Lepisosteus oculatus: one gene and its partners. The protein of the gene in region 1 purifies or fractionates together with the protein of each later gene. This does not show direct contact. Links are inferred from orthologs where the notes say so. Each region holds a gene or a part of one and is shown in the gene's direction. Other genes may lie near its edges. The genes, in order: histone chaperone asf1b-B, tlk1a, cabin1 and ubinuclein-1.

Evidence for each region.
Region 2: the proteins of histone chaperone asf1b-B (region 1) and tlk1a purify together in Homo sapiens (co-immunoprecipitation; 3 studies listed by BioGRID and IntAct, counting the BioPlex papers as one, with this or other methods). This does not show direct contact. The link is inferred for Lepisosteus oculatus from reciprocal best matches to the Homo sapiens genes ASF1B and TLK1.
Region 3: the proteins of histone chaperone asf1b-B (region 1) and cabin1 purify together in Homo sapiens (affinity purification with mass spectrometry; 3 studies listed by BioGRID and IntAct, counting the BioPlex papers as one, with this or other methods). This does not show direct contact. The link is inferred for Lepisosteus oculatus from reciprocal best matches to the Homo sapiens genes ASF1B and CABIN1.
Region 4: the proteins of histone chaperone asf1b-B (region 1) and ubinuclein-1 purify together in Homo sapiens (affinity purification with mass spectrometry; 3 studies listed by BioGRID and IntAct, counting the BioPlex papers as one, with this or other methods). This does not show direct contact. The link is inferred for Lepisosteus oculatus from reciprocal best matches to the Homo sapiens genes ASF1B and UBN1.

The regions. Positions count from the first base shown.
Region 1 is NC_090706.1:21,997,640-22,005,040, reverse strand, and holds the start of histone chaperone asf1b-B, read left to right. Parts: upstream 1-4,339; 5' UTR 4,340-4,845; coding exon 4,846-4,954; intron 4,955-5,657; exon of another isoform or gene 5,658-5,694; coding exon of another isoform or gene 5,695-5,737; intron 5,738-7,401. UniProt on the Homo sapiens protein: Histone chaperone that facilitates histone deposition and histone exchange and removal during nucleosome assembly and disassembly. Cooperates with chromatin assembly factor 1 (CAF-1) to promote replication-dependent chromatin assembly.
Region 2 is NC_090707.1:16,290,449-16,298,137, reverse strand, and holds the start of tlk1a (serine/threonine-protein kinase tousled-like 1), read left to right. Parts: upstream 1-4,552; 5' UTR 4,553-4,591; intron 4,592-4,992; exon of another isoform or gene 4,993-5,106; intron 5,107-5,252; 5' UTR 5,253-5,259; coding exon 5,260-5,392; intron 5,393-5,543; exon of another isoform or gene 5,544-5,558; coding exon of another isoform or gene 5,559-5,661; intron 5,662-5,849; exon of another isoform or gene 5,850-5,867; coding exon of another isoform or gene 5,868-5,874; intron 5,875-5,926; exon of another isoform or gene 5,927-5,941; coding exon of another isoform or gene 5,942-5,960; intron 5,961-7,689. UniProt on the Homo sapiens protein: Rapidly and transiently inhibited by phosphorylation following the generation of DNA double-stranded breaks during S-phase. This is cell cycle checkpoint and ATM-pathway dependent and appears to regulate processes involved in chromatin assembly.
Region 3 is NC_090717.1:9,546,302-9,553,702, reverse strand, and holds the start of cabin1 (calcineurin-binding protein cabin-1), read left to right. Parts: upstream 1-4,303; 5' UTR 4,304-4,378; intron 4,379-5,026; 5' UTR 5,027-5,071; coding exon 5,072-5,074; intron 5,075-5,807; coding exon 5,808-5,900; intron 5,901-6,735; coding exon 6,736-6,849; intron 6,850-7,401. Other genes in the region: ddt (D-dopachrome decarboxylase), read left to right, coding at 475-547. UniProt on the Homo sapiens protein: May be required for replication-independent chromatin assembly. May serve as a negative regulator of T-cell receptor (TCR) signaling via inhibition of calcineurin. Inhibition of activated calcineurin is dependent on both PKC and calcium signals.
Region 4 is NC_090714.1:858,192-866,136, reverse strand, and holds the start of ubinuclein-1, read left to right. Parts: upstream 1-4,851; 5' UTR 4,852-5,938; coding exon 5,939-6,157; intron 6,158-6,707; coding exon 6,708-6,809; intron 6,810-6,885; coding exon 6,886-6,981; intron 6,982-7,508; coding exon 7,509-7,652; intron 7,653-7,937; coding exon 7,938-7,945. Other genes in the region: glyr1 (cytokine-like nuclear factor N-PAC), read right to left, coding at 694-849, 1,206-1,344, 1,455-1,534, 1,896-1,932, 2,681-2,718. UniProt on the Homo sapiens protein: Acts as a novel regulator of senescence. Involved in the formation of senescence-associated heterochromatin foci (SAHF), which represses expression of proliferation-promoting genes. Binds to proliferation-promoting genes.

The DNA.
Region 1 (7,401 bases):
AATCATTTTGTGATTTACTGCTACAATTTATAATTGTCCCAGTAAATGCACAAACCCTACAGAACTGGTGCCTTCAGAGAGCACACTACACACCTCAGACCCACAGTCACCCTCTGTGCATAGAGACTTTCTACTAGTCATCTGGACTACTAGTAGATCCCTGAGAGAGACACTGTCGGCGCGTCGCCACAGCAGAAATCTCTCCACCTAATTCATCTGACTCTGAGCTGCACCCTGAGTGGTTGGCTGGGAGCCAGAGAACGCCGGGACTAAGCCTATTGAATGCCACAGCGATTGGATGCAGCCTCTAGCTGGTCTTTGGTGTCCGTGCCTGGAAATATGAATCCATATCTGGATAGATAAACCCAATGTCGAGAATTCAATTGTTACCTCAACACAAGTTGATATCAATTCAATTCATGTGAGTAATGTATTTACTTTTGAGTAGCTAATGTTAACTGATTAATGATAGTATAGCCAAACTGTATACTGAAGCATATTCTTGTTTGTTTCTCTATGTGTTTTGCATCTCTTCTCTTTATCCAGGCAGACTGTTATGTGTTTTATATGCACAATTTATGTATTAATAAGTGTATCTTGTTTATTGAATCTATGTGTGTGCATCGCTGATCGATTTATTTTCTAATAGCCATAATGAATCACCTCGTGATTACTGCTACAGTAATAAATTGTCCCAGTAAATTCATAAAACCCCTACATGTGTGTTGAGTCAGCTTGGGTGTGAAAGAAACTTTGTTAGCTTCTAGAAATGCAAGACTAAGTGAATGTGAGGCCTAGCCTTGTGAAGTCAGAAGGATGATGTTAGCAGCCTGAGGTAGACCTTTGTAGTCCAAGGCTGGCTGGGTGTGAGAGGACCCCACTCTTCAAGGAGCAGAGGAGAAGGAAGCTCTGTAGGTGTCATCAGGAGGAAGCCACTCCAGATGAGTGAGGTAGGTAAAAGCTAGGAAGATCTCTAAAGAGATGGTGCCACCTGTCCAGCTGGATGGGGGGTCCATGATACGCACCACTATCAGAGGAGAGTGAGTGTTAAGAGAGACTAAATGCAGAGACTGCGCGTGCAAATATAGAAAAAGAATGCAAAAAGATTCCCCAACAAGCAAAAAGGGGTGTGTCTGGAGCGATGAACATGCCCACGATCAGTGAACGGTAGCCATTACCCCCCTTGCATCACATGATCTAGATTCCGGTATGGTTAATAAACTAGTCAAGTTTGCAGATGATTCCAAAATAGGAGAATTAGCTCAAACTGTATTAGTAGCAAACAAAAAAACAAAAAAGATGTAGCAGTGACTTGGCAAGACTGGACAAAAACATGGAAGATTACATTTAATATAGATAAGTGCAGGGTTTTGCATGCAGCTGGTTAAACTCAATATATCCATTTTGTAATCTGCTTTTCTAGTACAGGGTGGGGGGGAGCCAGAGCCTACGCCAACAAGCAATGAAAATAAAGCAAGATACAACCTGGATGGAAGCCAGTTCATTCCAGAGCACACACAGAACAAACACAAACTTAAACATTCTCACAATAAGATTTTTACAAAAATCAATTAAAGACTGATTATTTTCAGACTGATTATTAAACATATATATATAGAGATATAGAAATGATTTACAAATTTCCAATTAAGCACAAAATCGTGAACTTTGTGAACGGGCAAGAGTGAGAGTTCCCATGAACTGTGACATTATGTGGCCTCTTCCTGCTCACTAATCATTGTAATGGCTACTGCAACCAGAGCCGGTCCAGGCTCCCGTGAAACTTAGTTCAGGACCCTGTGCAGACGGTATAATCCGGAAGTAAGTCGAAAGGACAACAGGGAGGAGACGACGAGGATCATGGCAGGTTAACAAACAGAGGGGCGTGACGAAAGTGAACTGGTGCTCGGGGGGAGTGGCCACGGCAAACAAGTCCAACGGAGTCCAGGGGGAGATCCAGGGCGAAGTCCAAGGTCCAAATCCGGTTGATCCATCTGAGATAGGACAAAACAGAGTTAAAAGCTGGAATGGGATCCAGTACAGGGATGGGGAATAAAAACGGGATGACGAGGCCAGGCGCTCTGAGCCCCGGACTCAGCTGGGTCAGGACGCCGTTAGGAAGCCTATGCCCTCAAGCCGTGGATGTAGGGCGACTTGATGGTAGGCAGGCCTCAGGCATTCGTCTTCCAGTGCAGAGCCCAGATTGGTGAGAGCGCCCAGCATAAATAAGGAGGGGCAAGATTGAGGGCAGGTACACGGCATCATAAATGTGAAAGAGCTGGAGTGCCCTTAAGAGGAGGGATTACGATCGTGACACTACTGTAGCACGATGTATGAGCGAATTTCACTGCTGAAATGTTCCATTGTTACCTGCGTGCAGAGTTAACACGTAGTATTTGTCGGCAAAACTATCTTGAAGTCAAGAGCAACATTTCTATCACATTAAAAGAGATGTATACTCAAACCTGCTTGTTTAGAATAAAATCGGGTTACTTCACATCACTAAACATTTTGTTGCCTCATTCTGAATTGCAGAATATGGCGCTGCTTATTCCCGGAATTTTCATTTGTTACTGTGTCCATTTTACTTTAATTGTGATTTGAAATGCACTCATCAATGCTGATTCTTTCTAACCCCAAAATATAAATATACCGTTGCAGTTACCCTTTAACCATTACGAATGTCTTTGGACTGTGGCAGGAAAACGTAGCACCCAGAGAAAACTTTGGTATACAACCCTCATGCAGGTAACACCCCAGGAACTGAACCTGAGGCCCCGGCACTGTGAAGAAGCAATGTTTAACACTGCACCACTGTATCACCCAGAAGTTAAAATATAAATACAGACTGGAAAACACTAAGCTAGAAGAAGCTACTCATGATAAGACATCTGTGTTTATGTTGGTACATTGCTTACATCTTCCAGATGATGTGGGGAGAAATTAAAAAGGAAAATAAAATGTTTGGCTGTATTAAAAGCTTAAAATTGAAATTAAGGGATGTCATGTTAAAATTGTGTATTGCGGTAGTTAGGTCTCATTTAGAATACCGTGTAAAATGGTGATTATCACATTACAAAAAAAATATTACTGCTTTGAAATGAGTCCAGAGAATAACAGATGCTTTCTGGGTCTTCAAGGAATATTCTACACAGAGGCTGAAAAAACTTTTTTAGTCTCGAAAAACAATATTAAGGGACCGGATACAAATATTAAAAATTCTCACAGAAATTGACAATGTCAACCCAGAGGACTTCTTCAGAATAAACAATGAAACACAAACCAGAGGGCACACGTGGATACTACATGGAAGTGTATTTAACAACAACAGAAGGCACTTCTCTACCCAGAGGGTTGTGGTAGTGTGAAACAAGCTAACCATGTGATTGAGGCTGATACTTTGACTTAATTCAAGAAACTGCTGGATGAGATTCTAGGATCAATTACAGTAAATACTATCAAATGAGCAAAATGGGCTTAATGGCCTCCTCTCATTTGAAACATTTCTATGTACAGTTCAGTTTATTGCCATATGCACAAGTGCAATGCGTATTTGCATGTATGTTCCAAAGACATTAAGAAAATACCAAAAACATAAACACAGAACAGAGGCAGCAACAAAAAGTTAAAGAACATACAACTTTAAAAAAACATCAGTGTGAGCCAGTGGTAGGGGTAATTAAAACATCGCGAAACTGATATTAACATGTCAATTGCAATTACATTCCGTGCATTTTGTTTTGGTGAGCAGAACAGAAATATCCTTAGTAATAACCAGAATCGGATAACTCTGATTTTCCATCCTATACATGCTGCTGTGGGATATGCATTTCAACAAACACAGAAATCACGTAAGTGGAAACAGTAATACTCTAAATTTTTGGAATGGTATAACACACACTGTTCTCCCATCGGTGACTTCTGAGAAAAACATAGATTGTAATTTACTGATTACACAGAGAGCAAAATCTAGTAATTGACAAATCTTCGCCATTGTAATTGAAATAAAGCACGTAATTTACTCATTTTGTGGTGTCGAGTCCTGATAAATTCCCATTTCTTAGGCACTCATAAGGTCGTTTGATTAAGTTTAGGAACGCACCCCCTGCTGCACTTGCTTGCAGCTCAAATACTATGCACAACTCTATGAAAGGAATTATGGGTACGTCGCGTAATGGCAGTCGAAGAACGAGCAACTGTGCAAAACATCTCGAATCTGCTCATTTGCACAGAATTCTGCGACAGTGACGTCACGCAGCAGCGCGCCAGCAGTTTCAGACGCTATAGTTCCTGCAGCTGCTGGCCAATCGGTAGCAGAGCTCTCCTGGGTCCCATGGCTATGGCCTGGCCAATCCGCTTCAAGCTTGATGCTCCTAGTCTTACTGTCCGGCGGAGGCTGCTGTGAACGCTGGCGGGAGCGAGTTTCTTTCTTTCTCTCGGGCAGACCGCGAAGGGAACGGGTTTGTGACGTTTGGAGGGAAACATATTTTTGAAACTTTTCATACGCTTTCTGTCCGGATCTGAAGGTTTGAGTCCCCCCTCTTGTCAGGAACAAAAAACTTCGAAAACCTTTGGTGTGTGGATGCAGAAAATGAAGATCTGGTACCAAGACTCATTTTAAATAAGCGACGTATAAATACAGGAAATTATTCACTTTCGTAAGGAAAAAATATACTTTTTAGTTTTAGTAAGGAGCTGTCACCCCCTGTTAGAGCGCACGGTTCTCTGTAACTAGATCCTCAGCAGTGCAAAGACGGGATTTGGGGGTTTCTACGCAGTTTTGTCCCTTTGAGTGACTCGGATAATTATTGTTTTGCACCGCGAGTTGGCCGGGCAGCTGCAGAAATGGCGAAGGTGCAAGTGCTGAACGTTGCCGTCCTGGACAACCCGAGTCCCTTCGGAAACCCCTTCCAGTTTGAAATCACTTTCGAGTGCATGGAAGACCTTCCCGAAGGTAAGCGCATCTCCCTTGGGCTGCGGATGTCGGGCAGCCTTTTTTCTGCCTTATCTCAGGTGCAAAGTGCGTCCTGCCGAAATGGCGGGGAGAAATCGTAGGTACTCAAGGGGCGAGCACATTTCTAATTTTGTTGCATGAGCTGGTGTGACACTTTGCTGTTCAGATTTTAGGTGGAGTAGAAAGCCTATCGTAAAGCGCTGTTATGAAAAACTATTATAATCTTATAATCTATTGTTTGCTAGTACTTTGAAGCAATTTAGTTTTGTAGTTGAACGAATTTATAATAGTTGTAACTTGAGCATTTTCCAACATTTTTACAGATAAATTGTTTCATTCTCGTAGATTTTCAAGAAACGTCAGGGCTATATTATATCAGTTAGGTGAACAGGCCTAACTAGTTCACCCGCAGTCTAACAGTCAAAATGCAAGCAATTTAAAGTAACTGATTCTCTGAGATTTATGACGGCGATAATTCGTTTGATTCTTTCTCTGGTTAGAAGCATTTCGCTTTTTTCTTAATTATACTTGTATGTCCTTTCCATTACTTAGTTTAAAGATGGTAATCTTTGAATTTTGGCGCCGGCGGGGACTTAAAGCAAGCGAGCAGAAAAAAATTCTAGAATCCATGCCTCTTCTATCTGATTGGGCGGCTGATGATACGGGGGCGTGTGTTTTAGCATCTGTTGTGTATCCGATTGGTTCCTAAGCGAGTTACTATGACTGTAGCTCCTGATTGAATGGAAATTGCGGGAGTAGCTTTTGTTTCACGCAGAGCTAGAGGTAGTATTCTGCAACCACATTAATTTGACGCCGAGACGGTTGGTGTCTTCATTTTGAAGTTTCCAAGTTACTCATTAGTAACTTAGAGGTATTCAAATAAAGAATTGTTTATCCGAAGCTGCTTGGTAATATTCATAAGTAAATATAACGTTCAATGTTTCAATGAAACATTTACTTCTTAAAGTTTATATTAAAATATTCTGGGTATTGAAGACTGTTCAAAAACAAATATATTCACTGTGACAGTTTGGATTATATTTTCATTTTAATAAACTGTATGATTAATTGTACCTTTGTAACGTGTTAATTTGTAGTGGGGCAATATTGGTTTCCGTCTGAATATATTTAGTTGTTTTAATTAAACACATTTAATGTCTTGCAGTAATTCTGAAAATTAACATTTTCAATGTTACTTTATCTTTTGCTGTGCTGCGATATTCTGGCGCCCAAGATCAAAGCTTTTAGAGTTCAGTCATACCAGTTCAAGCCCGTTTAACTTTAAGATGGCATTGTATTTGTGTAGGAACAAGTGTCACAACCGAAGAAGGCTCCACAGCCGAAACGTTGTTTTCTTCTTTATTCAGCATGGAGTAAACCTATTACTTGTTCCTTTGCAGCCTATGCATGCTGACATAGCTACACACCTAAACTATTTCATTGTATTTGTGTTTAAAATTCCTGCTCGACAGTTGGTGGGTTTTTAAGTAATTTGATTACATAGTGATTTTTGGACATTCATGATTTTATATAATGAATGGGCTGTTCCAAATGTTGGAAAAGACCCTTTACCTAATTTTAAGTTAAGTGGCACGTTGGTGTAATGGCTGAGGCGTGTGCCTTGTGTGCTAGAGGTTGGGGGTTCAAACCCAGCTGTCACCATGATTTTCAGGGCGTGGTGGTGCGGTGGCTCTGTGGCTAAGGATCTGCACCTGTGGCTGGAAGGTTGCTGGTTCAAACCCTGTGGCTGGCAGAGGAATCCTACTCTGTTGGGCCCCTGAGCAAGGCCCTTAACCCCAACTGCTCCAGGAGTGCTGTATAAATGGCTGACTCTGCCCTCTGACCCCAAGCTTCTCTCCCTGTCTGTGTCTCATGGAGAGCAAGCTGGGGTATGCGAAAAGACAAATTCCTAATATATGAAATTGTATATGGCCAATAAAGTGATCTGATCTTTTATCCATTAACATGACAGCCTTGGGGTGGCACTTCGGTATTAATTGTAATACGTTTCAGATGTCTGAGCACCCTGAATCAGCGTGCGCTGTTACAGTGATCACATGTAGCTAGGTCTTTCATACGAGGCTGAAGTTGGCTTCTTATTTGTGTTTTTCTTTCCACCTTAAATGCTGCTGCTGTGATGTTATATCGCCTTTCGCCTGTAGATGGGTCTCTTCGGTCAGTACTAATCCAGATGGAATACTGTAGACATAATAATAAAAACATCACTTTATTAACCCTTTACAATTTCTTGCATTAGGAATTATCTTTTCACATACCCATGCATTTTCTCCATGAGACACACAGCAATGATAGGGAGAGAGCCTGGGGTCTGCCATTGTGCGGCGCCCCTGGAGCAGTTAGGGTTAAGGGAGTAGGATTCCTCTGCCGGCTGTGGGATTTGAACCGGCAACCTTCCAGCCACAGGCACAAATCCTTAGCCACAGAGC
Region 2 (7,689 bases), on another chromosome or scaffold:
GTCCATCTCTTTCTTGGAGGACCCGACAGTCTGGTCCTCAACCTTATGTTCCAGACAACCATCACTCTTTATGTAAAGAAGTGTTGCCTATTTTCCATCCTAAATAAATTCCCTTTGTTGCCATGTTTCCTTGGTTTTTTACTGAAGATGTCAAACTGGGTTGACCCTTTCTGTAGACCTTAGAATGTATATGTTTCAGCTTATTCTTTTAATGTACAGTACATTTCTGTAGCTTGGCATTGTTCCCATCTTTTTATAGAGATTCTAACATGCACTAACATACTACATACTGTACATCTAGACTGTACAGACAGTCTTATTAATCTTCTCAGTTTTTTGTAATCAGTGATGGAATTTTTTACTTATTCAAATGTTTATCTTTCACATTAGTAAGTAATCATTGTTATTTTAAGTACTTTACATTTTCCAAAAGATCATTAATGAGTGTTTAAATTTGAACTTCATAGCCATTTAAAGACAATTAAAGTGAAAACAGATGAGGTCATGATACAGTGAGATGTTAATTCACCAGTTGAAGTGAGAGGGACATTTACTGAGGTAAGACTGTCCAAACCTGAAGTGGAATTTAGCCAATATACTGGGGTACACCTATTCTAATATGACTAGTCTTATGAACAGATGAAGTAGTCAGGACCTCTCCTGAAACTCTCAACAAAAGGACAGCACACTGCCTACAGATCTATGTCCCTTGTCACCATGCTGTAGATTGGAAATTGTAGTCCAGAGAGAAGATTGCCACTTATTCCAGCAAGGCCACTCACTGTACCAACCTGGATTTCTTTGGAAGTCTCCAGTATCATTACTGACATGGACCAAGCTTGCTTAGGTTGTGAGATTTGACAAGACTGAGCTACAAAGAAAGCCAGTGACTTGAAAGGCTCATATGTTATACTGAGAAGGTTCTTAAAAATGCATGATTCACAAAATGATGATGAATGCTTGAGTGGTACAGTTCTTTACAATCAAATAGCAGTTTTATTCAATTAAAGTTTTTTTTAATATTTTGTTTGGGTATCACAAGGATCTGTATTCAGACCACTGTTCTTTTGAACTTACAGTATATCAGTTGTCCTACATTTTGGACATTTGTGAACTAGTCAATTTTGCAAATGGTACAAGTCATAGGATGACTACCAAATCACTCTATATGTTTTAAGGAAATAATACATCATTTGATGATGGAACAAGTAATAGGTTTATTCCATGCTGAAAAAAAGAAGAAAGAGAACACAACGTTTTGGCCGTGGAGCCTTCTTCAGATGTGAGCCTGACACCTTATTCAGCATGGAATAAACTTGTTCCTTTGCAGCCTACGCATGCTGACGCAGCTACCCACCCGAACTATCATTTGATGATGATAATAATACAATCTAATTGAAGAGTTTTTTTTTCGTATCCACCAAAAAAGTATGAATGTGAGATTGGAAACAGGCAGCTATGGAAAAAGCAAAGTATTGACACATCATTTTCCTTCAATAAGGTGGATAAGCAATAAAAGGCCAAACAGATCATTAGATGTGTAAAATGTCAATACTGACCTCATTTAGAATGTTGTGTACAGCTGTGGTTACCATAATGGTGCAAAAAAAAAATATTGCTGCTTTGCAATTATTTCAGAGAATGGGGACCACATGTATTTCAGACTTAAAGGTTCACCCTTCATGCAATCTTTTTCATCTTGAACATAAAAGACTATTTTAGGGACCAATACCAGGACATGAACCAAGGAATTACTATTCCAATTACTACTGAGGGGACACTTTCTTACACAGAATGGACTGGAATAAGATACCCAGGCATGATTTGAAGCTGATTTCTTTTAAGACGTCACTGGACAGTCTAGATGTGCCTTATAGCCTCTTATTTTTAAACTTTCTTGTGTTGGGCACTATCAGTGATCTCTTAAGTCCTGCATATGCCTTTTTGCAGTGCACAAATCTAAAAGCAGTTTACAAGGACAGGTTCCAATAAGAAGAATAGAAAGTTCACAATGCAACAAATTGCAAAAGCACTTATCTGTTCAAGGTATTAGTCTGTTTCAGGTCATAATACTGAGACAAATTAGGAAGGTTCACAATAAGAGCAAATGACAACTACCAGAGCTACACAATGTGAAGAACAGATATCAGAATTTTTAGTAGGAGTCAAATCAGACAGGTTCAGATTTTTTATCCTGAATTAAGATTATTTTCCCTAGTTGGATGTAAATTTGAGTAACTAATTTTTCATATTGCATGTTGACTTGAGCACCAGATGTAAATTTGAGTCCCGAACAAAACAAATAGTATATCTGAGGTAAATTTCCATGCCCAGTGTTTCATTTGGGCTGTGCACCGGTGTTAGAATTTTATCTAAGGAAAAATTATGCATACTCAATCCTGAACCAGTCATTCACAGCAAGTGGAAAATTCCAGGATGTAGCACATTAATATGCCTTCGTTTTAGTAGTAAAAAAAGAAAACAAATAAAATGCCCTGAATGAAAACGAAAGCTGCATTCCAACAAATATTTTAAAAATGCCTCTATAATTATTTTGATTGCTTCCTAATTGAATTTTTAAATGCCTACTATTGACCCACATGACTTGCTTTTCTGGGGTGGTATAATGCACTGAATCAGTTCTGAAGCATGCTATTGTGAGACAAAGGCTTGTGCCAAAGGATTTGCTGGTCTGGGCTGTGTGTTGAAAAGGGAAGCTTAGCTTGGTGTGTGAAAAAGAAGGCCGGGATGTTTCTACTGAGAGGAGGCATCACAGTCATTTCAATGAACTCTGAACAGCCATCTGTGCATAGCAAGTGCATAGAACAACAAGTGAGCCATCACTGGCTGAGAACATTCTCTATGCCTTTACCATCTAAAAGATCAGATTGGGAGATGCAACAGGAAATTATTAACCCCTGTGTTTTAATGCTGTTTGACCCCAGTTGGGTTCTTATTTTAGGGACTCTGTTATGTCTTTGTTGTTAGGAGTAGATATTTTATTTTTCTAAAAGACCACTGGGAAAAACAACAACAATCTTTTGTCTCCATTACACTGCTACCACACGGTCTACTGATTTGAAAACAAATATTTTGTTGATCTACTTAAAAAAATTCTAAATTCCATACATATATTTGAAAAATAAATGTATTGCATATATATAATAAAATAGAATTCTTAAACTCTTCTGATTTATAGGTGTATGCTATATTTAAATTATTTAAAATCTGTAACAAACTACCCTTTTCTAAGCCTGTTATTGATTTTTTTTTCCCAGCATTAAGTGAATGTAATTACATAAAAAGTGGAAAATGTGTGAAAACGAACGGTTACTCTAAGGAACTACCTTAACAATTTAATAATTTTCCTTCTCTGAAATGCATGGCTCTTGGATGGACAAAAAACATATACAGTAAAACCGAATGTTCCAGCTCCTGAGGAAACTATGGACATTTAAAAGTGTGCTGAATGTGAATAATGCACAAAAATAACGTGAACCTGGTTGTTTCTAATTTTGCATCTGAAAATTATCTTCGGTATAAACCAACAGCTAATACAATACAATGTTACTTGCTTTATTTTATTACATAAAAATCCAGATGTTTGTTTCCCAGTTTCTAATTGAGAACTCTCCATAAGAGACTCACACTCATAAACTGCTGCAACAACAATCTTACCATTACATGTAATCCAAAATCAATTCTTCATGATCAATCAATGGAGACAAATACAAAAAGTGCAATATGACCTTCAACCTAAAATACCCAGTTAATGGTTGACCTAATCGGCAAACGGAACTGCAAAATAATTCCTGGTTGCTGTCTACACTTTTTTTGCTTTGTCGTATTTAAACGCCAATACATTGTCATGCTTTATATTTTTCCACTCTACAGCAAATATTATGCTATTAATATGCTTCTTATACTTCCATTTTATTAATATACACCTTTAAATTAATTTTTCATTGACCTTTTAAAATTTATTTTTTAACAATACCGATGCCGACCCCCCAACAACAACAAAACAACATTGAACTAAAATGATTGACCCTTCTTAGGACCTCAAAGGTGCAAATAATCTTTTTCTTCACTGCACGATGTTCACGAAGTACAGTAGGTGCTTTAATGTTGTGTGAAACGTTTTTACAGTTGAGAGGAGAGTATATAGGCAACCCAAAATAGTACATTCATTTAACCAAATTTCTTTTCACTTATCAAAGGTCACAATATTTAAAAGTGATAAATACCACTTCAAACAATATTTTCACTTATCCCAGTTTATAAAGAATTGTTATATCAATACATTGATATAGTTACTTAATACGATTAATGTATTAAGTAAATATACATCAATTTATTTTTGCAATATTTTAGGATTTTTATTAGATTTACTTTATGCTTAATTATCAGCTAATTTTCATATTAAACTATTCTATTACATAAACGCCACAAACACATCCTAATTATCGTAATTAGTGATCGCGGTTTGATTGACAGCTTGAACAACTAGCAAGTCCGCCGCAAAGGGTTAAACCTACGTCACTTAAAACCACCATAATGAATTGTGGGAAGGCGAAAACTATGTTCGTGTGTATGTACATTAAAGTTTTTATTTCGCGATATGAGATTTTTTTTCAAACAAAGTTCTTACGTTATTCTACGTTACCGATAAGGAATTGGAAATGGCATCGTAGTGCATCAGGAAATTGAAATAGCGCCAGGGAACTGTCTTTATTTTTATTAATATGATAATAGTGTCTGCATATTTTAATCCTCATGCGGTGATGAAATAAAATGTCCCCTATAAAATTTGGGAGGAATGCACAGGTAGCACGGAGCACAGTTACCCTGCAGTTTACACATTTTTTTTTTATGAATGAGAAATGAAAATATTAATGCATTCAAAGCCTCTGATGAAGAGCGTGCGACTTGGGAAGTATTTCATACAATTTGGGATGGCCTCTTTGTTTTGCCGTTTCCATCAGTAGAATTTTTTGCCTGAGGTGTACGAGCCTCGCGATAGTGTTTGCACAAGCGATGCGTGACGCCTAATGCAAAGGTTACACACACAGGCTACTTCAAGACGCACTGCAGAGGTATAGGGAGGTTTGTGTTTAAAAAATGTTAAATTTTACAATTTGGGCCGGATCATACGAGATGATTGATTGATGCCAGAGGCTTGCAGGTTACAGAAATCACGAGGTTTCACTGCCATTGACGCCTGTGTTTGTTTGCTTTCTCGTTCCAAAAAGTAGCTTGATGAGTGTCCAAAGTAACAGTGGAAGTGGTGGAAGTTTGGAGGGGACGCCATCTTGGTCCCGGCTCTCCACGTCCCCAACACCGGGCTTGCTTTCTCAGCAACATATCACGGCACCTGTGAAAACCAAGGAAGGTAATCTAAAACTATATTAATCTTAGAAGTATCTTCTTTAGAAATGGCTAAGTGTTTTTGTTATGCGGGCGACGAGCCGTCTGGAAATATGAGTCCCAAGCGGGTTACGCTGAGGCCGTGGGTTAGGTACTGTACAGTGCAGCCAGTCAATAGGTGTCTGCTTGATATGGAGTATCAAGAAAAAATCTCAAGAGGCCATACGGAGAAAAAAAGAACAGCTACATTTATTTACACTTTGGGTGCATTAGCTGACGACTCTCAGCTAGACGGTATTGAAATCGCTCACAGTTTTGTGTTTTTTTTTAGCGGCTTCCGTTTTGAAAAGCAATGGGAAAATAAAAAAAAAGTGCCTCCTCTTTTTTTTTTATTTGCTAAGATGTCTGATAATAAAAAGGGTCGGGTCTTTTGACATCATGGAGGACCCATGGATTTTGTTTCGAGAAGAAGAGTTTGGCGAGATTGATCAGTGTGCAGAATGCCAGGTATCCGAGTTTAATAACGTAACTAAGGGTAGCAACTTCCTTCGCCTTTTTTGGTATCAAGTCTGGGATGACACATTTTTATTGCAGTAAGTAAACTGTGTCATATACACAATACATAGTATGATGGTGGTGTGCGGGTGCACGGAGACACGTCTTTTTTGGGGGCTGCGCACAGAACTGCATTGCTCGGTGAATTTATTTTTAATTTAAATGCACAAATGTTCCATGATGGTGTTATGCAGTCTGTGCAATCGGGTGCCTTGAGCGTAGTTATTTGTCTGGATGCAGGTAATTACAGTACGTAACCACAGTTGATGGAGTCTCTGGTTGAACAAACACTACTTTTAAAATAATGCCTAGCGTTGGCTAAAATGGTGGGGAAACGTTCTAGATAACCAAGTTATTGGGGTGGAGTTTATATGTGTCTAGGCTTACTATTCCGAGCAGTTTTGAGTGTCCGGTTCTAATTAGTTTACCTAGTGTGAGTTTCAAATTAGTGCTTAATTGTGTTTCTGTGTTTTCTATATAAGCAAGTCATCCCCAGAGAGGGACGTGCAGACTGCTTGGCAATGCTCTATGTATTATGGGCAATTGAAGATGCCCTTGAGGTTTTAAGGTGATATGGTAACGAGGTTTACCTCCGTCCTTAATCAACCCGTCGTGCTTGAAGCAAAAAGATCTCGCATACAAGTTCTTATGTAATTTGCAATTAGTCTCCCTGACCCAAAATATGTTCTGTTGAGGAGCTTAAGGTCGATAAGGTACCTGCATGTTATGAAAAATTCCATATTAATAAACCAGTTCTTATGTTAAATTAGTTTTTTTTTCAGCTTTACAGTATAGGCTCCTATGTAAAGTTTGCTATTTTTTTTCTGTAGGTGGTGTAATTAACTTGATATCTGTCTCCTGCCTTGGTTGTGCTTGAAAAGGGGAGCCAGGAATGTGAAGTAGTTATGAGTTAGGAGCTAAGTTATAGATCAATATGTGTTCTTTCCTCAGTTTAAAAGCTGTTTTTTGTGTGTGTGTGTGTGCCCTTATGAAGAAAAGTTTTAAACTGACAGGATCTGATCTCATCGCACATATCAGTGGGGTCTTGCATTATATTGTGCTGGCCAGTCCAAAAGTGTCAAGTTGCTGCAAAGCATGATGATTCTTTTTAATTTGGTCATTTTAGAGAGTTAGGCTCAGGTGGACCTACTACAGCCACGAACTGCATGGAGCTAAAATGTCCTGTGTTCTTAGGGTTCAACCAGTAGCTTTTGCAGGGGCTTAATGTTTAGTGGCTCTGACAGTATTCAGGTCTTGTTTATGCAGAATTGTAAAGAGTTCTTCACTGCATTTGAGTTAGTTCTCTGTAAGCCACTTTTCGTCTGTTTCCTCTTGTAGAGAGCTTGGAGAAATTTCCAAAATGCATTATGTGCATCATATTGACCTCTAGGGTTAGAAAGGTGCCCAATTAAAATGACATCAGTTTTTTTTTTATCCGTGTTCTGTTATTTTAAGGGTACCAGCATTAAAATTTAAAAACTTTAACTTTAATACAGTATGCTGTATAAATTAAGCCTACAGGGTGATCTCATCAGTACATGCCATAAGATACTCGCAAGCTTTTTTCACAGACCATCTTTTTCTTCTGAAATTTCATGTGTAAGACTATCAAAGTGTCAGCAGGCGTAAGACTTTATGGTGTTGCTCCATAGTGATACTTCAAAACTGCTGCGTTTAAACCCATAATCCTTGACCTGTCTGGCATCCCTCTTCGAGTCCCAAGATGTGGGCACTTAGTAGCATTCAGTTTTGATAGGCCTCATATGT
Region 3 (7,401 bases), on another chromosome or scaffold:
GTGCACTCAAGAGCATCCTCAAGTACCCTCCAGCCCCTCCACTGTCCGAGAGTGGCACTGGAGGCTGTGTGTCTTAGATAGATGCTGCACATTACACATATTACCACGCAGTTATGGGGAAAAATAAAACCACCACAGAGTTTTACACAATTTCACACAAAATTCGCCCAGCCATTTTCTAACCACTTCCAGTTCAGGGTCATAGGGGAGTCGGAGCCTGTCCCAGCAGGCTTAAGGAAGATATGGAAAATTCAGATACTTTTTATTATTAAGAGCCCTGCTGTTAAATTAAACAGCGCCTTAAGAGTTTCTTTTACACAAAGGAAGGTATCATCCTCAGGTTAGATTTCTAATGTTAACATATTTTAAGAATTTGGTAACAAAGTTGTCGAGTTTGGGGACACAATGATTGCGATTGGGCCATGTGAATGGCTTACAAATGGGGCTCAAGATTTCTCATTTTCCTCCTAATAGGATTGTCCTCCGGTTCTGGCCTCTCGAACCCTGGCAAGTTGGGAAGAAAGGGACTGTGATGACCTTCCTGTGAAGAATGAGGATACAAATGTCACATTATTGCTGCAGTGCACCACCAGGAAAGAGAGTGTGGATTGTTTCTTATACTTGACAGTTGTGTGCAGAATGAAGCACATTTTTCTGTTTAATAAATTCCTAGTGCTCCTTATATGTAACAGATATCAATGTGACACACTCAAAAATAAAAAAAAATATTATAAGAAGGAATGTTGTCTAGTCAAGGGATCCCTTTTCCAGATGTATTTCTTTATAAGGACGAACAACATGAAAGGATTGTTATAAATTCTTACTTATGGCTATGAGGCATTAAAAACAGAACGGAAGGTCAATATATCAGCAGCTTTTAGAGCACCTTTGTCTGCTGTGTAAGACTGAGATTTATCCTACACAGCTGGCTAGACTGGGTGTAAAAACATCCCCTGTGAGAACTGGTGTGATGTATTGGCTGGTTCTGTTAGAATAGGAGGTTAAAAAGAGTGACCTGAGGATATTCATTAGTTTAGTTAGATGCTGGTGCCTGGAATTGAATAAATAATTGTAGGTATTGACTAATTGGAAAAAGAGATTCTGTATTTAAGTGAGCTGAGTTCCTGACACGGTGTTAATATTTGTTCTCTGTTGCCCTGAGTTTTCTCTTTCTTCCTTCATTGGTCTGCTCTGCTGAACTGTCTAACTGTGAGTGTCTTCTGGTAACCCTGCATAATGCCTCACTCCCATTGAGGTATTACCACCTGAACCTGGTACTCAGAAAATCTTTAACATGTGTCTGCTTATAGCACATTGCTGATATTCTGATTGATACTCTTTTATTTTTTTAATTGCCACATTTGAAAGTCTTTATCTGTATATTTCAAGGTATAATCATCATGAAGAGAGACCTTAACGTGACTGTGTACGTTCACTTGTTCTATCATGCCCTCTTGTTCTCAGTTAGTGAAAATGAGCTCCGTGAAGTTGCCCCCCCCTACAGACAGCACAAACGATGAAATCCACCTCATTCGTTAGAGCTACGTTTGTGCCGTTGAAAGTAGCGTTTGTGCTGCTTTTGTTTCCGAGATATAGCACCTTCTTTGATTTTGATCAGTTGACCCCAGACTTTGCAGCCTTTACATGAATAAACAGTCTTACATTTAACCATGTTCTCGAAAATGTATTGCTTGTGTACTCGTTTCATTGCTGAAGAGACACCAGTTTCCAAATGACCGCTTGTACAACACGAGAGCCCATATTCACATTTTTAGGTATTGGTTTCAAGATCGAGATAATTTAACAATTAAAAACAGAATTGAAAGTACGAGCATAATAATATAACGATCATAGACTTACATTTATATTTTATTTTTGAAGTACAAAGCAGAAGGTGTTTCCCATACCTTAAATATACGATTAAAATTGTTCAAATACCACGTATTCATTACGGAAAGCAGCGGAGACAGTTATACTACAAATAAATGTATTTATTTCGAAGGGTACGGGACATTGTGAATCAATAAAGACGTCAATAAAAACAAGCCGATGTAGTTATTTTGCAAATAAGTAAAGCATTTTAAAAATAGTTTCTCATTGACAGTGAACAAGCCGATCCACCTGGCGCTGCTGGCTTGAACAGCTCTCGGACCCGTGATTGGCTAAACCCCCGAACAGCTCGGGCCGCGATTGGGTGAAGAGTGAGAATCGACACTCTGATTGGGTAAAGCGCCACAGCGGAAGTTCTGTGTACCGTGTGTGCTGTATGAGCACGCTGGATACACAGTAACAGTAACACATCCATTGGTTTCCGATTACTGATCAATCTCGCACAAAGTCGCCCTGAGGTTTAAACAGAATAGCAGACAAAGAATGTCATGGTATCCACAGCGCGTTCACGACTCCGATAGCATGTCACGATAGGAGTGCGCGCATCACGATCACATGGCGATACCCATTGCGACTGGCGCGACATTAAGTCCATATATTGCGATATGACATACCGACAAAACGCCCCCGCCCCCATGTCGCGACATGGAGACGGCATATCGCGATATAGCGTACCCCCAACAAAACGCCCACCCCCATGTCGCGACATGAAGACTGTATATCGCGATATGCCATCCCCCAGCAAAAATGCCCAGCCCCATGTCGCGACATGAAAGACTCTATATCGCGATATGACCAAAACTGCCATGCCCATGTCGCGACATGAAGCCCTATATATCGCGATATGACCAAAACTGCCACGCCCATGTCGCGACATGAAACCTGTATATCCCGATATGACATACCCCGACAAAATGTCCCGCCCCCATATCGAGACTTGGAGTCCATATATGCGACACACAAAGTCCATATATCGGGACACGTCCTATCTGGGTATATCATGTTCTGATATGAGACCTTTGTTGTGACAGTGGTGCCAGGGTGCCATGGAAGCAAGGCGCCACTCGTGATATACACTGCCGCGATATACATGCCTTATACATGGGGTCCCTATCATGACATGCTGCGGAGGTCTTGTCGCGATGGTATCCCACAGTTACGCATTTGGAAACAGCGTGTCACGGTAGGGAAAGAAAAGAAAAGCGTCTTAGATAATAAAAAACATTGATCTTACAATCACGGTGATTTTACATACATTATAACCACAGTTTTATGTCATAGATAGTTAACTTGTTGGCGTGCGTCATGTCTAAGTATAAATCACATCTAAGGCGGCTCATATGTTTATGGATATTGATTGTCTTTAAAATGTTAAGGGTACGAGCTAAACTGTAACAGAGCGCTTGAACTCGGCAGACGAGGTCAAAGTCGCTGTGCATGGTCATGTGATCACCGGGAAAACAAGGTGCTATATCTCGGGAACGAAAACAGCACAAACGCTACTTTCAACAGCACAAACCGGCACAAACGTAGCACTAATGAATGAGGTGGGTTTCATCGTTTGTGCTGTCTGTAGGGGGGGCAACTTCACGGAGCTGTGAAAACGCTAACAAAAAATGTCACTTGTACCAAGTATGTCCTGGAAATGTGGGGATTTAGTTTTAAAGTGGGTCTCATCAGCGTTATTGAGGCACCGAAGACCTGCCTTGGCTGAGGCACAAATAGTTAAAACCTATACATCTGATTAACAATGGGCGCTTTAATGATAATTAATGTAATGCATTGGTTTAATTTAATGCAAATGATAGCATTCTTCAGCTGTAATTACTTCTGTATGTAAACAAAACATTCACGTTATTTGCCGCGGTGTCCATGAATAAACTTGAAAATTATCTTGTCATTGTCATTTGTTCCTTTGGAAATATGAACATTCCTTTTGTAGAATAAAAAAAATAAATTGGGTTAAATGTGTTTATTTACAAAGCATTTTTGTAACTTTCACCTTTTTATGTGAAATTTAATCGAAGTTTATTGCTTTATAATTCATACTATCCCCTTCATAGCTGCATGCAGAATAATATTGTCTTCCAATTGGAGTAAAATAAGACACTTTTACCCTTAAAAATACCGTTGACAGTAGAAATCGAATTACAGTATTATAAGGATAATATTTCAATTTGAGTCTTCTTCATGATACTATCATTGATAGTGTTAATCTTGTGTTGTCTTGGGCCAGGTTTAAATAGCAATTACTTGGAGCAAAAGATGTTTAATCCGTTCTCTCATCAAACATTTTCCGATGTAGAGTATATGGACAATAGTCCACAGAAGTTACTTTCCACAGAACCCAGTCCTGCTGTGCCTGGTTACCAGCATATGAGTTTGTGATTGGCTGAATTTCACCGGCCAGACTGAACCAGTAGGATAGGCTGTTGCTGGCAGATGCTTCACAACAGACAAGCAAAGTGCAGTTTGGAAAGGAGCGCAGGTAAAGAATTAAAATACGTTTAACGCTATTTCATGCATCGTTCTGCGCACCTCTATTTATATAAAAGTCAACAGTTAGGTTTGTTTCTTTTATTTAAAACGAATACAATCTTGAGTATTTGTAGTGTTGCAGAACATGCTTGTGTCACTGGGGAGCTGATTGAGTTATTGTATAGCTGCGAAAGGGTGAAGGAAACGCACCAATTGATTCCTGATTACAGCTAAAAAACTGAAAATGGTAGAGTTAAATGTTATAAATACATGAAATATACTGAAATCTATCGTTGCCAAAATGTGGTTTTAGTTTTACTCGGCAAATTGTTATATTTCAAACGTTTACCTTAGCATGTGGGATATTGGTGTGCAGCCATATATCAAATTAATGGTGCTGCATGTAATTGAAAGTAATATTTTGTGAATAACGTGTTAATAGTATTAATAAATACAGTCCATTATATATACTTCCTGAACCCCCTTTCTTAGAATGATCCAGAGAAACATCAGAGAGCTTAAAATACTTTAACGCTTGTATAGTATGTTACGATTGTGTTGATAAACAAATGCCTGCAGTTTGTATCAAAGAATAAAACAAAAACATCGCGATAGTTCTGTCATAAAGCATTTCATTGAAAAAGGCTGTTTATTGCAGGTCTTCTCAACATGAAGTAAGAAGAATCTGGTGCTGAAGAAAACAATGGTACATTTTATTTTCTCTCGAAGAGCAACGTGTGAAGAAAACCATATTGATTTCTTTTAATTTTTGTATTTTTATTAAGTTAATCAATTAAATAATTACACAGACTGGCCTGCTGTTCTTCGGGGTTTAATACAAATTGTAATTGTTTTGATGTGAACCCCACACTTCAGACATAGCAGTGATTTTGAATGAATAATTAAATGTTATTTTATGAATCAACAAAGGAGTCATTCTTTAGGGTCTCAAATTCCACAAAGTATTGCATTGCATATTCAGTTTAATGGCACTTTGTAATATAATTATAGTAATATAGGATTATATTGAGCATGAATATACATTCAAAGTTTCACTCATTTTTAAGCTTTTTCTTGGTCACATTGCATCCTGGTAGGGGTTTTATTAAACTGGCTTCCTTCCTGTGTTGGTTTTTGCGAACCTTTTCCAGCCTAAGGCACATGTTTTTACGGCATTCACTAAAAAGTGATATGGTCCTGGCCGCAGCAGTTGCCTGCTGGCCTGGAAAAGCCGATATGTTTTGTCGGTGAATTATTTCCAGGTGGGACTGGTTTGGAATTGGGCAGCGCACCAGTTGATGTCTGATGGCGCGCTTGTTGGGAAACGCTTCCCGACGTGACACCGTGGCCTCTCACCCGGTCTTTCCCTGGAGTTGAAATAGGTGTGGTCTAGGCTCATCGTGACCTCCTGAAGGCTTGACCCTGGCTTTTACTTCCAGATCCGAATCGCTGCACTGAATGCGGCCTCGGCAACTGGGGACGAACACGATGACCTGCAGAAAACCAGGAAGACGCAGACCAAGGAGGCCCAGGTGAGCTCCCTCTGGCTTAATACCCACGTTACCTGCTCTCCTGGGCCATACTGTTCATAGGGTTCAGGCATTTTATATCTTAAAAAATATATGTTATTATGCAAAGGAACAAGTAATAGGTTTATTCCATGCTGAAAAGAGAAGAAAGAAAACGCAACGTTTCGGCCCTGGAGCCTTCTTCAGGTGTGAGAAAGACAGGGCAGTAAGCAAAGGTGATGTACAGTAGCAGGAGAACAAAAGCTGGTAGAGAGGAGGGGTGGGAGCAGGGGACAGACAGAGTGGCCACTCGGTGGTGTGAAATTAAACCTACAGTGAACAGAGAGAATTTAGAAGAAAATTAGCCTGGTGTTGAGACAAGGGTGTGATCCTAGCTGCAGGATCATTTTATTTTCTGTAGTCTTTCTGATGTGGGAGTTGGGAAAACCATTTTTGAGAACACACGCGGAGAGATTATATTTTATTATATTAATCAGTATGGAATATGCATGTGTGATAAGCGCATCTTCCTCTGCTCCTGCTGGGCTTTGATCCCGTTTGCCCCTGGGCTCCGTTCTGTCCAGTGACTCTTCCTAGACAGCAGATGACTCGGCCGCGCACGCCAACAAACTAGTCCTGCGCCAAGGCCGAGTTTTACACTGCACTACGCTTTCAGAAGAGGGTCACTTCTGTAACGGGCTCGGGGCATTGCTCTTCAAGCATGTGCCCAGTTTGCTCTTGTGTTAATGGGGGAAGCAGCAGTTTGGTAGGTGTTTGTGTATTTGGTGGTAGGCGGAAAGCTGAAGGTCTGAACAGTGTACAGACTGTTGCACAGTTTGAGCGCTCTTTCTCTGAGTAGGAGGCAGAGGCATTTGCTCTGTACCACAAAGCTCTGGACCTCCAGAAACATGACCGGTTTGAGGAGTCTGCAAAGGCCTATCACGAGCTCCTGGAGACCCCGCTGCTTAAAGAGGTGAGACAGTAATGTACACAATGGTGAATTGTCCCATCATCATACGACTTACAAAATACATCTTTTGCGTTGTGTGACTAGTGTTCATAGACTTACAGATCAGGTCATTTTACTTAGGATACAGGATAAATAGCAAATATTTCTAGGATCTTTGGGTGATTGTTGGAAAGTAAACTTGGATTCCTGTAGAAGTGGTGAGTAATGTTTTTGTTTGGGTTAATGTGTTTTGTGTTATATTTTTTTATGTGTACTGTTTCTGTGTTTTATTTTTGTTTCTCTGTGGGTTGAACATAACTGCTTGGAGGCAAAACAAATTTCTGAGAAATCAGATAAAAATATTATTGTATCATATCGTCAATAAAACTGTTGCTGTCTTGCACTAGGGAAGTTGGTAAATATTTTCAAATGGATGCATTTTCATTTTTTCATCTGTCCATCTTTCTGTCGGGCTATCTATTAATAAATACGCCAAATGTAAATACACTAAAGAATGAAATGAGGCAGTTGACTGTTGGAAACCTTTCTAAAACCCGCTTTTCACAAAAGTATGCT
Region 4 (7,945 bases), on another chromosome or scaffold:
GGTGCCACAAAGACAAAGAAAGCATGAATTTTAAACTTAAGTCTGACTGAACTCTGTAGCAGGTGTGAGCAAGCTGCATTCTACAAAGTTCTACTTAGGCACTCTGATTAAATCACATAAGTATTCATTAAAAAAGTACTTAAAAGCCAAATACTTAAAATAATCTAAAGTGTATTTTAAAATGTAATTTATACAAGCTGCTTCACAAAATACTCACAATTTCTTAACAGCATTTTACATTGTTGTGACGTACAAAAACTTTCAGCCATTTTATTATATTTTAAACCACAATGAATGCTGATATCTTGTCCAAGAGAATAAACAAACGATTACAAGTAATTTCACTGATGTTTCATTGTAACAATTTTAACAATTAGCTCACATTTGGGATTTTCTGGCTGCACTTTATGACACAGATATGTTTATATCCAGCCATCAACCACCCCTTAGAGATGAAGATCTCAAATCCCCTTTGGAGAAATGCTCACAGAACCGGTTCAGTGACTCTGTAGCCATCATCTTTTTAATACTTTGTTGCGCAAGCTTAAAACCAAACAAACAAAGCTGGCTTCAGCACAGTGTTGGACAGCACAATTCCACATACTTTCCAGGGACTATTCTTGTGATCAGTAGGAACAGAACTGGAATAGCTTAAATAAGTATTTGTACAAGGTGCCCTTTGCCGTCTCTAACCTTGTCTTCTTTTGGAGGGCGGCCTCGTCGGCGCAAACCAAGGTCTTCATCATCATCAAGTGGCAATTTCACCATTTTTGCAGCATTTTTTCTGCCTTTTACGTCTGCGGCGTTTGATTTGTGTCTTTCTTCTGAATTACTGGAATTGTGGGATGCCTAAATAGGGAGCAAAGACAAACAGGTTACCGCAAGCAAAAGTGGCACCGAAACTCACCGAAACAGCCTTATTTCCCCAACACCACGACCCATCAATAACGGAGTAATTAAATGAAATCTTGAGAATTAACGGAAACATTAAAGTTATTCTAAACGACGCAATAAAGGCACATTTCAAAATGTTCACTCATTATACTGTAGCTCAAGGATTTAACTGATTTTGTTTCACTACAACGGCACAGGAATAAGATTCTGATTTTTTTGCAAACTGGAAAAAATTAAGGCCGACTTCCCTTTAAGATGTAGAAATGGCACCGCAGTGTGTGCATCAGGTTCAGTCGATCCAAAGCCGTTACCTGTTCCTTTCCTTTTGCTTTCTTGAGGAACTCCTCCACTGCATCCACAGCTTGTTGGAAACGCTTGCCTTTGTTGATCTTGATCATTTCTTCCTTGTGGGGGTGGTAAGGCTTCAGCTGCTCGACCTTTATCCAAGCACTGGAAAAGAAACACAGGCATCGCCGTTTTGAGAAAGCTGCCGCGAGAGAACCATCGCCAACCGTTTGTAACTTTTTAAAACATGGTGGGGGGGGGGTGGAACTCCTTACTGGTCTTCAGTGCCAAAAAACTTCACAAAGAAACATTTTTTTCCTCTCGGTTTCTTCAAGTCTTTCGGTGGACTTACTATCTAAAAAGAAAACACAGAACGGTGTTAAAATGGGAATTAAACTTACAGGAAGACCCTGACAGAAGGCTCACCGACAGGGAAAAGATAAGCACAATCATCCATCACACTTTCAGGAAAACTGCAAAATTTACAAAACCTAACTAGAATTCCCCCCCTCCCATCTTTTAAACATGTTATGACGGATGTTAAAAAACCCTCCCCATTATTTCACTAAAAATAGTTCACAATTTAGGAATGTTACCAACTGTAACATCTTTAAAACAACTCCTGACCCATCATGAACTGGTGCACTACTTAAAATGTAATGAAAAAATGAAAGATCGGCAACTTTGGAGAGAACACGGATTTGAAATGAATTTACTTTTCCTGGCCAAGGTGGATACCGTCCCAGCTTCCCCCTGAAAAAGAAGAAAGATTTCAACTAACGCAACACAACCGATGGTTTCCTTCTCGATACTTCAATTATGCAATGGTTTGAAATGTAGTACCACAGACGGTCTGAGCCTTACTAGTTCATACTATGGCCGAAACATTAGGTAACAGAGAGAACTGTACTAATGTAGTAACAACGACTGCCTGTGTGCTGCAATGTACTGTAAAATTAATTAAATGGTGATATGTAAACAAAGTGCAATACATGGGAAATCGCCTATATTTGACAGTGTGAAAATGAAGAGAGGGGTACACGATTGTTAAAAACGTGAAGTCACATCGTCGAATGTACATCAAGTCTCCGTTTACGTTAAAGTTTAGGAAATACGACTGAAAAGTAAGTTCCTCCCGCTCGGGTTCAATAAAGGAGCAGGATAAAATGTTTTCAGCAACGAGGAAGCGATAACATCTGGAAATAACGTTGCCACAAGACTAATAAAGGTGTATATATGAAATGTTGTGCTACATGTAGTAAAACTGAACTGTTTGTTCTAGACTGCGGCTAAAAAAAAATAATATACGGATTGCTGTTTTTTTTACGAAACGCTGTTTCTGTGCTGGCTGTAATCACTATTTTCAAGATCATTTCTGCAAAGAAATACCTGCCATTTGCTCAAGCAAGTAAGCAAGGGCACCGCGCAAGCGACTCCGTTTAAATCACCCTCAGCAGACGTCATGCAGCTGAAACTAAACGAATAAGCACAAAAATCTCACCAAACCAAATCGCCGATCCTCAGATGCACGGCCGCCATCTTAGAAAGTTGGTTAAAACGCCGCAGTGCATCCAGGGAAGAAGAACACACCCACCCGCGTCACGTGGTCCCGGACGGCCGTCGCGGCGCCTCTGCACAGCTGCTGCTCCTACCGGAGAGGGCGTCTGTGCTGGAGGGGTTCGGGGGGTTTGGATAACTAAGGAAAGGTACCAAAAAATAAAGTTACATAGCAAAGGCGCAGGGCTTGGAGGGACCTGTTTGTTCTTTGCAAATCCAGCCCCAGCAACCACTTGCACGGATTGAAAAAGGATACCCTTTTTAAGAGCCGTTTGTAGAGAATTGATGTCACACCGTGAACTGCTTGTGAGATATATGTGCAATAAATGTTATTTTGATACAAAAATATAGCAAAGGGGACCTGTATCCTTAACACCACCACCTACACGTTGCATGGCTTAGATCTCCGATTTGAATCGAAACGGTGCCATTTTCAAAGTGGCCGGGAAGCGCTGCGAGTGATCTCTTTCGTTGCTTTACTGCAGCAACCAGCCAGCAAAATGCACCGTAGGCGAGGCGGCTGATGTCTCGCTATGGTTTCCTCGGCACCTCAATGCAGTGCGGGTGATGCGCCAGGGGCACTTTGCTTTCTGGGGAGCTTAGGAGCAACGGGTGAAGTACAAATGTCGTAGGAAACAATGAAACTGCTGCCGTTGGCTACGGGCTATATCAGTCCAGAGCTCGATAACCACAGACGTTTATAAAGAGCGACCCCGCCATTTTCACATGCGAGTTGGAAAGCCATTTTGCTAAAGAGGAAGTAGAGGCACTTCGTCTACGTATTAAAAAAACATCGAAAACGCCCTCCAATCAGCCTCATGTTGTTTAGGTGTTTCGATACTCATCACTGAACACATTTGTCTTTAAAACCGGATATGCGAAGTGGAAAAGTGAACGTGCACATTGCCGTTTAGCAAAGGAGACAATTCGGCACCAATCCCCAGAATAGCAGGATATATATTGGGAGAATGCGCGACCAAAACGTGTACAGAACTACAAACGACATATGCCCTTGGAATAAATCAACAGACGCCATTTTCTCTCCAAGTGTAGTATAGATCTCTTCTATTGGGGCAGTGTCTTATTTTTAGCTATCTACTGAAAACAAGTATTGTTTACAGCTTTTCAATTTGATTTTCTTTAAACATTTTGATTTAATACGACGTACCTCTTTCGTTTTGGTGCGTATACGTGATTATATCGTATAAAACTGCATTACAGAAACATTTTTGTGAGATGAAAAAAAATGTGCACATCAAGGTGATGTCAGGGGATACAGGAAAATTTCCGGTTAGAAGCTCTTGGCCACTCAACCTCCTGGGGTGTCAGAAGCTGGTGTTCAACGCTCGTCCTTTAGGCGTCCCTGTTGCCGCTCATCTCGGAAATCATTAACTAATCAGCATAATTGAGATCAATTATACAATTACCAACTCGTTATGAAATAATTGATGCAAAACAATACATTGACACAATCGAATAAAAGCGTAAACAAAAATCTGAACCACACTGGTGACAGGGAGTTCTTGTAAGACCTGCAACGGAAATAGAAAACAGGTGTGTCTTATACATTAGAACCGCATTATGGAAACGGGGCCAGATTTGTTTCATTTGATTGGTAAACCAGATGACTATTATATCGAGCAGCAAAATATAAAGCATTGGACGCTTTCTGCTTTTTTAATTGAACTGTGACAAGTACATACTCTTCAGTATCTGCCTTTTCTTCTTCTCTTCCAATTTTTATATATTTATACTGTATGTGCTACTTAATCTTAATTGTGTTATAGTATCCATTCTTCTCACACCACTATTCTATTGTTGCATTATATAAATGTTTCTGACATGACTGTTTTTAATTTACTGTCTGTGGCACTATGAAAACGAACGTTTCAATGTTTACAAAGTTTAAATGATTAAAAAAAAACTTGCTTTAAGATATTCGGAGCAAAAATATTTAAGTTCGTTAGAAATAAACAGATCTGTACAACAGAAATTTGTACAGTGTAGTGCAACTTCCATCGCAACAGGTTTCCTGCACCCGTTACCTGTAACTAAACAGTTTTAGACCGTTAACATGGGAAGAACACAAAAAATAACTGCAAGATAAATTGTGTTTTCTTTTATTTTAAAACCGTCTTGCGCTTATCACGGTGATTCTCAGAACATTAACAATGTAATTTACAGATTGCCTTTTATTATACTAATAATCGCATTATTGCTCTTGCTCGGTGCTACAACCTGCTTTCAACCAAGTAAACGCAAGCACACGTAAACATTTTATTTAGCTCCACATATTCTTGCAATACCTCTCTACACCCCCCTTATTTCATGCATTCTGCCCACGACGTCCCATGTTTGTGGTTTACTGTGGCTTTGGTAGCTGGATTAACTCCACCAACATGGCCCCCTGGCTCACATTCCTCCCGAGACACGAGAGCTAAATTCTCGGCGTTTTTTTTTACCAGAATGTAAATATTATGAGGTATTAATCGTGCGACGCTGCGGCGGAGGGTGATGACGACGCCGCCGGTTCTATCTAAGGTCCTATATAAAGTCCAGAGCGAAAGCAGAGGGAGATCGAGGGGGTTAAATGAATTTGAAATTAGTGTGAATTGCTTAGTTTGCGTGACTAAATTACGTAATGTTTTCTAAAATATATTTGCATACCTTAACGCCGAAGTAGTGTGGCTTGTTTCTGTTGAGTGCTGAAATGTTTATGACGTGAAAACTACTCAGAACGTGGATAACTGTTCCCCATCTTTTTTTTTCCTGTCGTCTCGCAGGGCAAAACATTTATGTTTTTCCAGTGTTTTTTGTTAGCCGATATTGGGAGATATACAATTTTGTGCTGTGCCACATTCGCCTTGTTAGTTGTCTGCTGCTTTTGCATGCGTTGTATTTACTATTTCGCCATCATAAATGATGGCAGGACTAAGAGACATGAATTAGGTCAAAAATGTTGTGTGCAATTAATAGATGTGTCACGCAAAAGTTCGACCTAATACGAGATAAAGGGCACCCTTCGGGATCAAAGGGGTTATTTACCTGTACGTCATGTGGCTTTGTAGAGTCTAAACGATAACTGTTGGCTCAGTACACATCAGAAATGTAAGCCTGGTAAAGATATAAACGCACAGACTCAAACAAGTGCTTCCAGGAGTTTGATTACGCTCTGCTGGGGGTTGGAAACGCGTAGTTACTCATGGCTGAGCCACGCAGGGTACAGCTGACCACTCTCTGCAGCAATGTCCCCCTTCCTTCAAGTTTGCTAAAGATTCCCCCCAAGGAGGACATATCCGCTGTGTGCAGCCCCTTGGAGCAGGAGACGTCTCCGGCAACTGCACGCCTGGTGCTCGCCCTCTTTGAGCCCGATCAGCGGCGCTGTCCAGAGTTTTATTACCCTGAACTCGTGAAGAAAAAGGTAAAGACCTGTTCTGTATTTGGCTGCTTTTCCAGTCATTCACGTAGAAATGAATGTCTGAAAAGTCTGAAGTTGTTAAAGCATGTGATGGGGGGTGCGCATTGTGAACCCGCTGTTAACGCTTAGCGTTTGTTTGTGATTGTATGTTTTAATCAAGTCGGTATGAATTCCTGAATGGGTAGATCTATTGCCTTTTTCTTTGCATGTGAAGCATCTCTGACCCGCTCTACCAAAAGCAAAGATTCGGGGTCTCAAACATTTTAACATCTCACCGTTCTCAAGTAAGCTGTGGAGAACGGCCATCGTTCAAGTCGTCCGTGGAGACTGTGCAAGAACGTCTAACTAAGAAGTCTATCAGCATCAAGAAAAGAAGACCTTGGGCGAAAAACTTTGTTGTAGAGTCCAATATTTAAAATTATTTGTACTCACTGTACATTCGACAATAACTCAATACAATTAAAGTGGAACACTGTACTGAAAACATTGTTGCATGCCGATGTTTTGCCTTATCCAACAGCCCCAGTTTAAACACTTCACTTTCCCCCCCCAGAATAATGCCTTCAAGGGAACAGCAGTAACACTGGAGGAGGAAGAGAGTGCGTCGCAGAGACAAGAGGCCGAAGCTCTTGCTAAGAAGTTTGAAGAAAAATATGTTAGTATTGTCCTTTATGAACCCCAGGAAAGATTCTAAAGGGCGTCTTGGTGAATGTTCTTGTTTCTTTTGTCAGGGTCCAAAGAAGCGCAAGAAGGACCGTGTGCAGGACTTGATTGACATGGGATACGGATACGACGAAACAGACCCGTTTATCGACAACTCCGAGGCTGTAAGTTGTCTGCCTTGCAAGTTTGAAAGTTTTTCATCTACCGGCACTTTTGTCTTCTTCAGACAGACTTTGTGAAAATGACGACCAGGGAGGGCTGATAGAGGTCAGCTCTTCTGCCCGCTGGTCTGCTGTCCGCAGTGCTCTCCAAAACCTTCTCTAGAGATGCCTGTTGTTCACGTCCTTTGTGCATGTTACATGAAAACTTCTGACTTTCTGAATGGTATTTACCTCCTATTCACCCTCGTAGGAGCGCTTTATGAGACCGAGTGGTGCTTTCGAGGGCCTCACACAGCAGTCGTGCACGGTGTGCCTTAGAGGTATTCCTGTTGTCAGTAAGGTGTGAGAGTGGAGCTTGCAAGCTGCTGAGGAACATGTAGAGGGTTCATTCGGTGCTGAAAAGAAATAAATGTCTGGGCTCCAAGTCATTTCTACAGACACCCCAACAAAAAATAGTTTTTGTCTTTTAAGATGCCTTTTGTGTAAAAAATGCACTGGAAACTTAAGGATTTGTCTTTTTATTGATACAGTATGATGAATTGGTGCCGGCTTCACTAACGACAAAATACGGCGGATTTTACATCAATTCTGGGACTCTGCAGTTCAGGCAGGCATCAGAATCTGAACCTGAAGATGATTTTACTCAAGAGAAGAAGAGACTGAAGTCTCCGAAGGTCAGAGGACTTTTTTCTTTTTGCAGGCTGTTTTAAGATTTAGTCTTATAATGTCTTTATTTTTCCCAAGGGGAACTGTAAGGGTCTTATAATATACAGCATATTAAACCACGTAGTAAAAGAGTCGGGACATGAGTATAATAGTGATATTTTGTGAAATGTATGAAGGACAAAACTATTCAAGAACTATATATTCATATAAGTGCTAAACAAAGAGGGATGCGTTTGAACTAAAATAACGCAAAGCATTTTTTTGCCTTTTTGTTCGCTCCCACTTGCATACAGAAAAAATT